Rattus norvegicus: one gene and its partner. The protein of the gene in region 2 interacts with the protein of the main gene of each other region in a pairwise test. Links are inferred from orthologs where the notes say so. Each region holds a gene or a part of one and is shown on either strand. Other genes may lie near its edges.

Region 1 (4,561 bases), on a different chromosome or scaffold from region 2:
GCAAGACAGTGTGTGTGTGTGTGTGTGCACGAGGGCATGCATGCGTGCTGTGATGGCCATACCAAGGAAAGAATCCCTTGCCCTGAAATCTGCCATATAGGTCTTTGATAGGTTGAGAAAAATAACCCTGAAGGACAAGCCAAAGCAAATCTGGAGAAAGGAAGGTGGCTGCCACAGCTACATCTAGAGGTGTTATTAGTCTGGAATGGAGCAGGATACCAGAGAGGGATCAAAGAAGGGTTTCTTAACCTTGAAGCACACCCTAACTAGACATTCTATTGAGAAAGAAGGTAAGGGCTCAGAAGCAGAAAGAACCTAGAGGGGACAGATCTCTACTCTCTCCATGTTAACTATACACATGCAGGTAGCAGGTTAAGCTCAGCCTCTGTGTCACTGTACTCTGAAAAGAGCAGTAGAAGGGGTTTGAGGAATGTTCGGGAAGAGAATTTTGATCTGACCTCAGGACTGCAGGAATCCTGCATGGCCATCCCCTCCCCAACTGTACACATAACAACTGGCTCATGGCTTGTGTATACTGTAAACCTTTCCAGTAACTGACTTCTCTGGAGGTGAGAAATCCATGCCCACCAGTTCTAGCCACTTCTGGATCTGGGGCCTAAATCCTTTCTAATGAGAGGCTACCAATAGGACTTGATGGGAGGGAAGGTATTTACTACTCAGAAGTAGTAAAAACCACATGAGTCACTGGCAGGGGATCCTACAAAACTGTAGGGCAGAACACAAGCCACCAGAGACACTCCTCCTCCCACATGCAAGGCCTGCTAGAGGCTGTTTACCTGGATTCTTCCTGGCTGGAACGATACGGAGGCTGTTTCCTGATGTTCAAGATGTCCCTCAGGGCCCTGGGCTGGAAGGAGGGTGCTTGGAGATACTGAGAAAGAGAGGCAGATGGGAAGGAGTATCAAGCTGTTGTTACTGCATTGGCCTTTGGCCCGCCTCTGCAATTTGACATGGGGGAGATCACCCTGTTCCTTCTCAGAAATTCAGCTTTATGGTCTCTCCAGAGTCCTTATCTCAGCTGGGATTGTCCAGACTCATTTCAGGAGTTGCAGCCCTGCAAAACCTCTCCTAGAGCACCTTACTCTAACCCCCCCCCCCGTACCCCACACACCCCAGGGATTTGAGTTCAGATGCTGCATCCCCTCACCCATCTCCTGCCCATCAGCACTGACTTCCTCCTTCACACTGCAACTGATCTGGGTAGATCTGTCTATCCCTGCGTCCTGCGGTGCCTCCGCTGGGCCTGCCTTGGAGGATTCCATTGCTGCTGAGATGTGGTGGCTCCCTGAGGACTCCTCCATCTTCTGGACTGAAGGAAGTATCTTTGGCTTCAGGATGTGGGCTGTGATCTGAAGAGAAGCATGTTACAGGGGCTCTCCCTTCAATCTGTCCCTTTAAGAAGCTAATGTCATTGCACTCACCCAGCCCAGCAGCTGTCCAGGATCATGCTGCAGCTCCTCAACAAGGGCAGCGGCCTCCTCGGGGCTTCCTGGTCGCTGTCCTCGAACCCAGGCCTGGATCTCAGGAGGCAACACACCCAGGAACTGTTCCAAAACCAGCAACTCTATCATCTGCTCTTTGGAGGATGACTCAGGCTGCAACCACTGGTGACACAACTCTCGAAGCCGGGCCAATGCCTCTCGGGGTCCCTCAACCTCCTCATAGCAGAAACCCCGGAAATGGAGTCGTGCAGCCTCAGGCTCCTCAAGGGTGGTCCTGGAGTCTCTGAAGGATAGGTGTGGGGTACCCAGAGGAGATGGCATTCTTGTTTTGAGGGTCTTTTTGGAGGTGACAGAGGGTCCTACCTACAGAAAAGGAAGAATGTCATCTAAGGTCAGAAGGCATACACCAGATCCTTCCTAGAAGCCATAAAGAGAACCCTGTGGGCAGGAGAACTTCAAGGAAGGTCATGGAAGGTGCAGGCCCACAGTAGTTGAGAAAGCCTTGAAGATAACGACTTGAGTAGAAGGTGTCCAAGGATCTTCTAGAAAACTGCAAATTACTGGCTCAAATATTTGGGTAAAACAGAGGGCTGTTGGGAGATGAAAGTGGTTCCCCCGGTAGACAAGAGTTCAAGCAGGACATAGATCGGACCATCATCCAGGGTAACCTGAAGCCCTGAGGCTTCAGGCAGGAGGCAGACCACTGTGCTAGCTGAAGAGTTGACTCTGGGGCCCAAGTACATCACCTGGGGGGCAGCGCTGAAAGCTTGGGTGCACTGCCAGGGGCTTATATAGGCTGGCAGACACAGTTCACTGACCACAACTGAACTGTGGATGCCTCACACTGCCTCAGCCTATGCATGTGAAACCCCGAAACAAAAGCCAAATCAAACAGCCCCGTTTTGTGTGTAGTCAGCTGGAACCTATGTACCAGCTCTTAAGAAGTTCTGGATTGAAATCAGCTCTCCTGAGACATCTGGCCTGTTCAGGAGACACTCAGAGTTGGGGTCTCAGGCTCTGACACAGAAAAAGGGTGGGTCCGATGGCTGGGAGGCACTCTCGGCGGTCAGAGGAGGGGGATTATAAAGCTGCGCCTGCACAGCTAGGAGTGCGCTCACCTCTGACGCGTGGGGGAGCCCGAGAAGCTTGAGGCACTTCCAGGAAGTGACACGGAGCGCGTCCCACTACCACTCACAGATCGCCCCGCCTCTCCCGTTAGCCTACCAGCCTGGCCAATCCTGCACCTGCTCCGCAGGAACGGCCCCCTCCGCTTGGACTACGTCTCCCGTGAGCCTCAGCAAGGACGACAGCACGCTTCCAGGGCCTCTAACGCGGGAGGCTCTTCGTTCCTCTCCTCGGGGTCGCTTTGCCGCAGAGTTCCGGGGGTTCCCCTTCCTGACTTGGCAGCGGTTCTTCTCTTGCAACCTCAGCCGTAGGACTCACGTACAGCCGACCCAGACTGGGGGTTAGCCTCTTGACGCATGTGCACAGCGGAACTGGTTTCTATTGGCTAGTTAGGGCATCCTGACCAATCAGAGCTGGCGCTCCCCAAAGGGCTCGCGCTCCTTGTGTCTCCTAGGTAACAGCCAGCGCACAACCTACGGCCTTTTACTGTTCTCTGAGTTATGCCGTGAGGGTCGTCCTGCCTTGGAGAAGGCCTAGGTAGAGGCTTCTTGGCCTCTTGAGTCCAGGCGTCATCCCAGACTGTTCCAGACAGTACCAGTAGGAATCCCGGTGGGAGGCGAGGAATACCCACTATGGCCTCTGTGGGATCTCCGTTAAGCTCCCTGGATATTGTGGGGGCAGTAGGCCCACGGGTGAGCAAGCGCTCGGAGGAGGGAGGTAACTATGTAATTACCCCCTCATTAATAGTCTTCAGATAACTGTACTGAAAATACTTGGATGTTCATGTTTTCTCTTGGGATGGGGAAACATTTTTGTCACCAGTCCTTCCTGCCCAACTGTGTGTGATCTTAGAAATGATAAATTTTAAGATAAAAAATTGATTAGGGTTGGGATTCTTCAGTCACCCATGTTCTTGTAATGTTACAGCTATGGGTGGAGAAAGCCTTCTCCAATGACAGTGTTACAGTTCTGAAGGGAAAGGTATCCTGGAAGTTGGATACTACAAAGTCACAGCACACAACAAACCTCAGACAGGAGATTTATTGGGAGGGAAAAACTCAGAAGATGGTTGCCTCTGCTCAGGTGAATCGGGGGGCGCTGGGACGTTCCAGAGTAGGGGAGTTGGTGGGTTTTCAAGTCTTGAGCGTAGGCTTTTTACTCTGCACAGAGGAGCTTGGACCCCATGCATCTGGAGGGGCTGGACCCAGTCATTAGGGCCCTCTGAGTGTTTTGTGGGCAGCTTAGCCACTCTCACTCCTCAAATGCTTACTCTTGTAACCCTAACAAACTCATTGACCAAGTGGGACCTAAGAGGCTTTCTTCCAGTTGGAGTATAGGTTTACGGCTGCCCAGGAAAATCATGAGAGAGAGACCCCCAGTGTCAGCTCAGTATTTGATTTCCCTTGAATGCCACCCCCCCTCCATCTTCACCTACAGACTTACAGCCAAGTGTGGAGTGTGGTGCATCATGTTCAGCTGTAGAGCCAAAGGTGAAGTTTGGTGCATGTGTTTATTTGGTTTTGTGGGATTGGGAGGTGAGGGTTTTGTTGTTTTAAGACAGGGTTTCTGTAACCTGCAGCTTCAGTTTTCTCAGCTTTGAGAACACAGGCAGGTGCTACCAAGCTTAGCTGGTTTAACATTTGACTTAGAAAACCCATAGGCATTTTTACAAGCGTAGCCTGTTAAGAGGAGCTAACCCAGTATAGCCGTAGTTCTTGGGGAACTCCCACACATAGGGGAGCGCAGGCCAGTTCTCGGTATTGGAAGAGGTAGATCCAAGGAGTGTGGAGGTAAAAAGCACTCAGCTTAAAAGCAGAGGCTGGTGAGGAAGAGAAGGTGGTAACAATTCCAGTCTGTGGATCCCAGAAGGCTCAGGACTGTCAGAGAACTGTTGGGGAACTCAGTTTCCTCAACGTATCTTTGGTCCTGGGCCTTCCTGGCGTTACATAGTTCCATCCGAGAGGAGCTGACAG
Region 2 (3,807 bases):
CATTCTAGAACCTGCTCTCTAACAAGGCCATCTTGGGATTCTGGCTATCCATGATCAGGTAAGAGGTACACTCTTTACATGCAGAGCACTGTTAAGTTAACACTTGACAATCTACCCAGGAAAGGTAATGAGCAAAGGTCACAGCTGTCAGCAGGAGCCTCAGGCAGTTTAATCCCCAATCCACACACACTTGCCAATCCCTAGTTCTCCACTTCATACCAAGCACCGCCAGGGCCCCACACCACACTGCTCACCTGGACAAGGACTTGGAGGTAGCACCACCTGCTGGCAGGATTGGGGCTCCGGCACCTGCAGCTCCTCCCATTTCTTTCTTTCCTCTCCTTGGAATGGCTGGAGGTCTTTCCAAAGAGAACGGAAAAAGTGATTTGTCACATACATACAGATATCACTACTCAGAAACCACTAAGGAAGCGGCAGGCTATGATCTGCAGGTGCTGCACTCCCTCTGGGGGCGAGCACGAGGGGTCATTCTGCTGAGCGAATGAACCTGAAGGCAAGTGAGCAAACACCATGAACCAAGGTTCTGAAGCTGGGCTCAATTAATGTGGGTTCTAGGTCTACCACAGACGGTTAACACCTTCCAAGGTAGGCCTGCGCAAACCTTCCACAAACAGACTGTACTGAGCCCACAGGACAGACGGGAGGGGTCAGAGGGAATGGAGGTCCCTTCACAGCACAGCCCCCGCCACACACACACACACACACACACACACACGGGGCAGAGAGGATGGAGGTCCAGGGATGCTGCTGATTCTGTTCAAGGCTACTTCCTTCATAGCTCAGGTTGCATGCACGCATACACAGACATGGTGCAATGAATTTTGGCCCATCTTTCCCCGTAGAATTCTCTGAGCGCTTGTGTGAGTCAGTGGGTGGGAAGCCGGTAAGCACAGTGTCTAAAAGGGTTGTGCTTCATGCCCAGTCCTTAGCCATACACATCTGACCATTTTTCTAGAAAGGATCTTATTCTAAACATAAGGCTACTCTGGATAGCAGAAGACATCCTCTCACTACAAGTCCCTGGTTGAGGAACAGTCTCAATGGACAGCAAAATGTAGCCTCCTCAGTCTCCACAAGAAGCCAGAGTCAAGGCAAGGCATGGAATTCCAGGAGTGGGGAGCTATGGAGGAATACTGGGGGTGCTCTGGATGCAATAGTTTTCTACCTTGCTGTCCACCCACCTCTAATTGTCACTCACCTATACAGGAGGCTTGGGGTGCTTCTTTATCCTGGAGGTCTGTCCACTCTGTGACCCGCAACCCGTTCTCCTCCTCATGTGAGTGGCCCAGCTGAACTGGAGACTCATCTATTCAAAGAGAGGTAGACACCTTAACAGTGACCTGCTGTTGCAGGTAACCCCCGTCCAACCCAAGAAGAGACTGAGGAGAGATGGCCAATGAGCTGTGGCAGGTACCACTGGGGTATAAAGGAGAACAAAAGCAGACAAATTGGGGTAGCGTGAAAGGCGGTGTGGTACAGAGCCGGCCAGGGCTTAGGACCATCTCTGAGGCCCACTGGGTACAGAAGGGCCATTCGAGCAAGCACGACTGGAAGCTGATGAAAACAGTCCTGCACAGATAGACAGACAGCTTCCTGTCAAGGTGAGAGGGTAAACAGAGATCGGATTTGAGCCACAGTACCTTAACCTCACAGGTACTGTCCCTCATTCAGAGTGAGCCCCCACCCCCCCCCCCTTCCATATACATGGCTGCATGGGACTAGGTCTTACTTGGAGGCATAGAGACTGCATAGTCTTCCCCAATGATGAATTCTCCATAGAAACCAGTCTGTGCCGGGTCCAGAAGGGACCAGTCCTCTTCTGAGAAGCATAAAATCATGTCCTTAAATGGGGAAACTCGGTTCTGAAAGCACAGAGCAGGCTGTGTCAGCTGGGGAGGAGCAGGCCTTCCTGGGATCACTATGATATGGAGAGACCATGGTCGGTGGCATGTTCCACAGGCATTTACCCCGAATGACTTAGAGGCCAGAAATCAAGCCAAGGTGCAGCAAAGTGGGCCTGTGGGAACAGCCTGCTTTTTGGGGTTTGGTGCCCTTCCTGGGCACTTGGGAGGCAGAGGTAGGCAGATCTACATAAGTTTGAGGCCAGTCTGGTCTACAGAGTGAGTTCCCGAACAGCCAGGGCTACACAGAAAAACCCTGTCTCAAAAACCCAAAAAGACCCAGGGTCCACACATGGCGGAAGGGGCTTTCCCGGATTCTAACCAGTATCACTACATCTTCACCATGCCAACCACCTCCAGGCCTCTGGGTTGGTGGAAAGAACAAATGAAATTAAGTCTCAGCTAAATTTATGGGAACTTTCAACACCACCTGACTTTCAGTTTTTTGCAACTTCAGATACATCCCTTTGGGAAACAGATGTTTGAACATCCTCCTCTGGGGCCCAAGCCCAAGCCTCTTTAGCTACTGAAAAGGGGATTCTTAGGTGTTACCAAGAACTTACTAAGGCTGTTAAGGGAGAAAACATCTTTGGTAAGCCATCTTGGGTAAACTACCTTTTATACTGGGCCAAAGAGAGTGAATGACCTGAGCCCAGGCTAGTAGTTTCATTCACTGGGAACAGATCTAGGAAGAAACTGCTTAAGACCTCCTGGAGAGGACCAGGATGCTTGGTGAGGACTTCTGCGGCCAAACCAAAAAGACTCCACTCTCCTACCTGATGCTGGCACTGGGACAGTCCTATCTCTGTGCTTCTGAGCAGAGCCAGTGCTGGCTGGAGAGAGGCTTTTGCTCAAGGGTCTGGCTAAGTCATATGCTGCCAATTCCTTTTAATAATTTTTTTAAAAAGGATTTTTTTATGTGTATGACTGTTGCCTGAATATATGCCTGGTGCCCTCAAAGGTCAAAAGAAGCCAGGAGATCCCCTGGAACTGGTTACAGCTGGTAACCGTGGGAATGTTTGGAATTACACCCAAGTCCTCTGCAAGAGCAACAAGTGTTCTTAACTTCTGAGCCATCTCTCCAGCCCCTTGAACTGCCAGTTGCCGCTGGACACCCTTTGCTTCCTGCACAGTCACTACACTAATTTTGCTCTTGAGGGTATTTTTGATTTTGATTATGCTGCATAAAGCCAGTTTGTGTCCTTGTGGTTTAGATTGTTATTTTAAGCTACTAAGAGATTTAATTAAAATTTTTTTAAAAATTATGCTGTACGGGTGGTCTGCCTGCATCATGCCTGTCTGTGCACTATATGCATTTAGTTCCTACTGAGGTCAGAAGATGGCATCAGAACTCTTGGGATTGGTGTTAACCGACCGTTGACATGGCCATGTAGATGTTAGCAATTGAACCCAGGCCCTCTGGAAGAGCAGCCAGTATCCCTAACCACTGAGCCATTTCTCCAGCCTTTTGGCTTTTTGTTGTTGTTTGAGGCAGGTCTCACTGTATAAAACAATTCGCTTGCCTGCCCTCAGTCTCCCAAGTACTTGGAATAAAGGTGTGTGCCACCATGTTGGATTGTTGGTTTTTATGGACTGGTATTCTTGCCCCTTTTGCCCAGACAGAGAGCTGATTGCTTAGTCTGCTATCCATCTGCAAAGCTCTCACTGTAGCCAACTCCTCCTCAGAAGGACCACAGTCAAAACCAAGAGAGGCTGGACCCAACCTCACATCTTCTGCCCAGCCAACTGGTAGCTCCAGTTAGTCCATGCCGGGTGCCCATACTTACACGCCTGCTACACCTCAAAATTCACCACAATATTATCAAACAGACAGACGCTGAACTAAAAACAAAAAATGCCTCAATGGACTGAGCCCATAAGGACT

The links.
Region 1: the proteins of Zfp496 (region 2) and Zfp446 interact in binary tests that used the Homo sapiens proteins (3 or more experiments, as listed by UniProt). The two-hybrid records come from large-scale screens. The link is inferred for Rattus norvegicus from reciprocal best matches to the Homo sapiens genes ZNF496 and ZNF446.

What each region holds. Positions count from the first base shown.
Region 1 is NC_086019.1:82,672,309-82,676,869, reverse strand, and holds the start of Zfp446 (zinc finger protein 446), read right to left. Parts: upstream 2,951-4,561; 5' UTR 2,688-2,950; intron 2,589-2,687; exon of another isoform or gene 2,210-2,588; intron 1,827-2,209; 5' UTR 1,785-1,826; coding exon 1,443-1,784; intron 1,371-1,442; coding exon 1,169-1,370; intron 893-1,168; coding exon 798-892; intron 1-797. UniProt on the Homo sapiens protein: May be involved in transcriptional regulation.
Region 2 is NC_086028.1:44,773,612-44,777,418, forward strand, and holds part of Zfp496 (zinc finger protein 496), read right to left. Parts: intron 1,884-3,807; coding exon 1,751-1,883; intron 1,328-1,750; coding exon 1,220-1,327; intron 360-1,219; coding exon 255-359; intron 1-254. UniProt on the Homo sapiens protein: DNA-binding transcription factor that can both act as an activator and a repressor.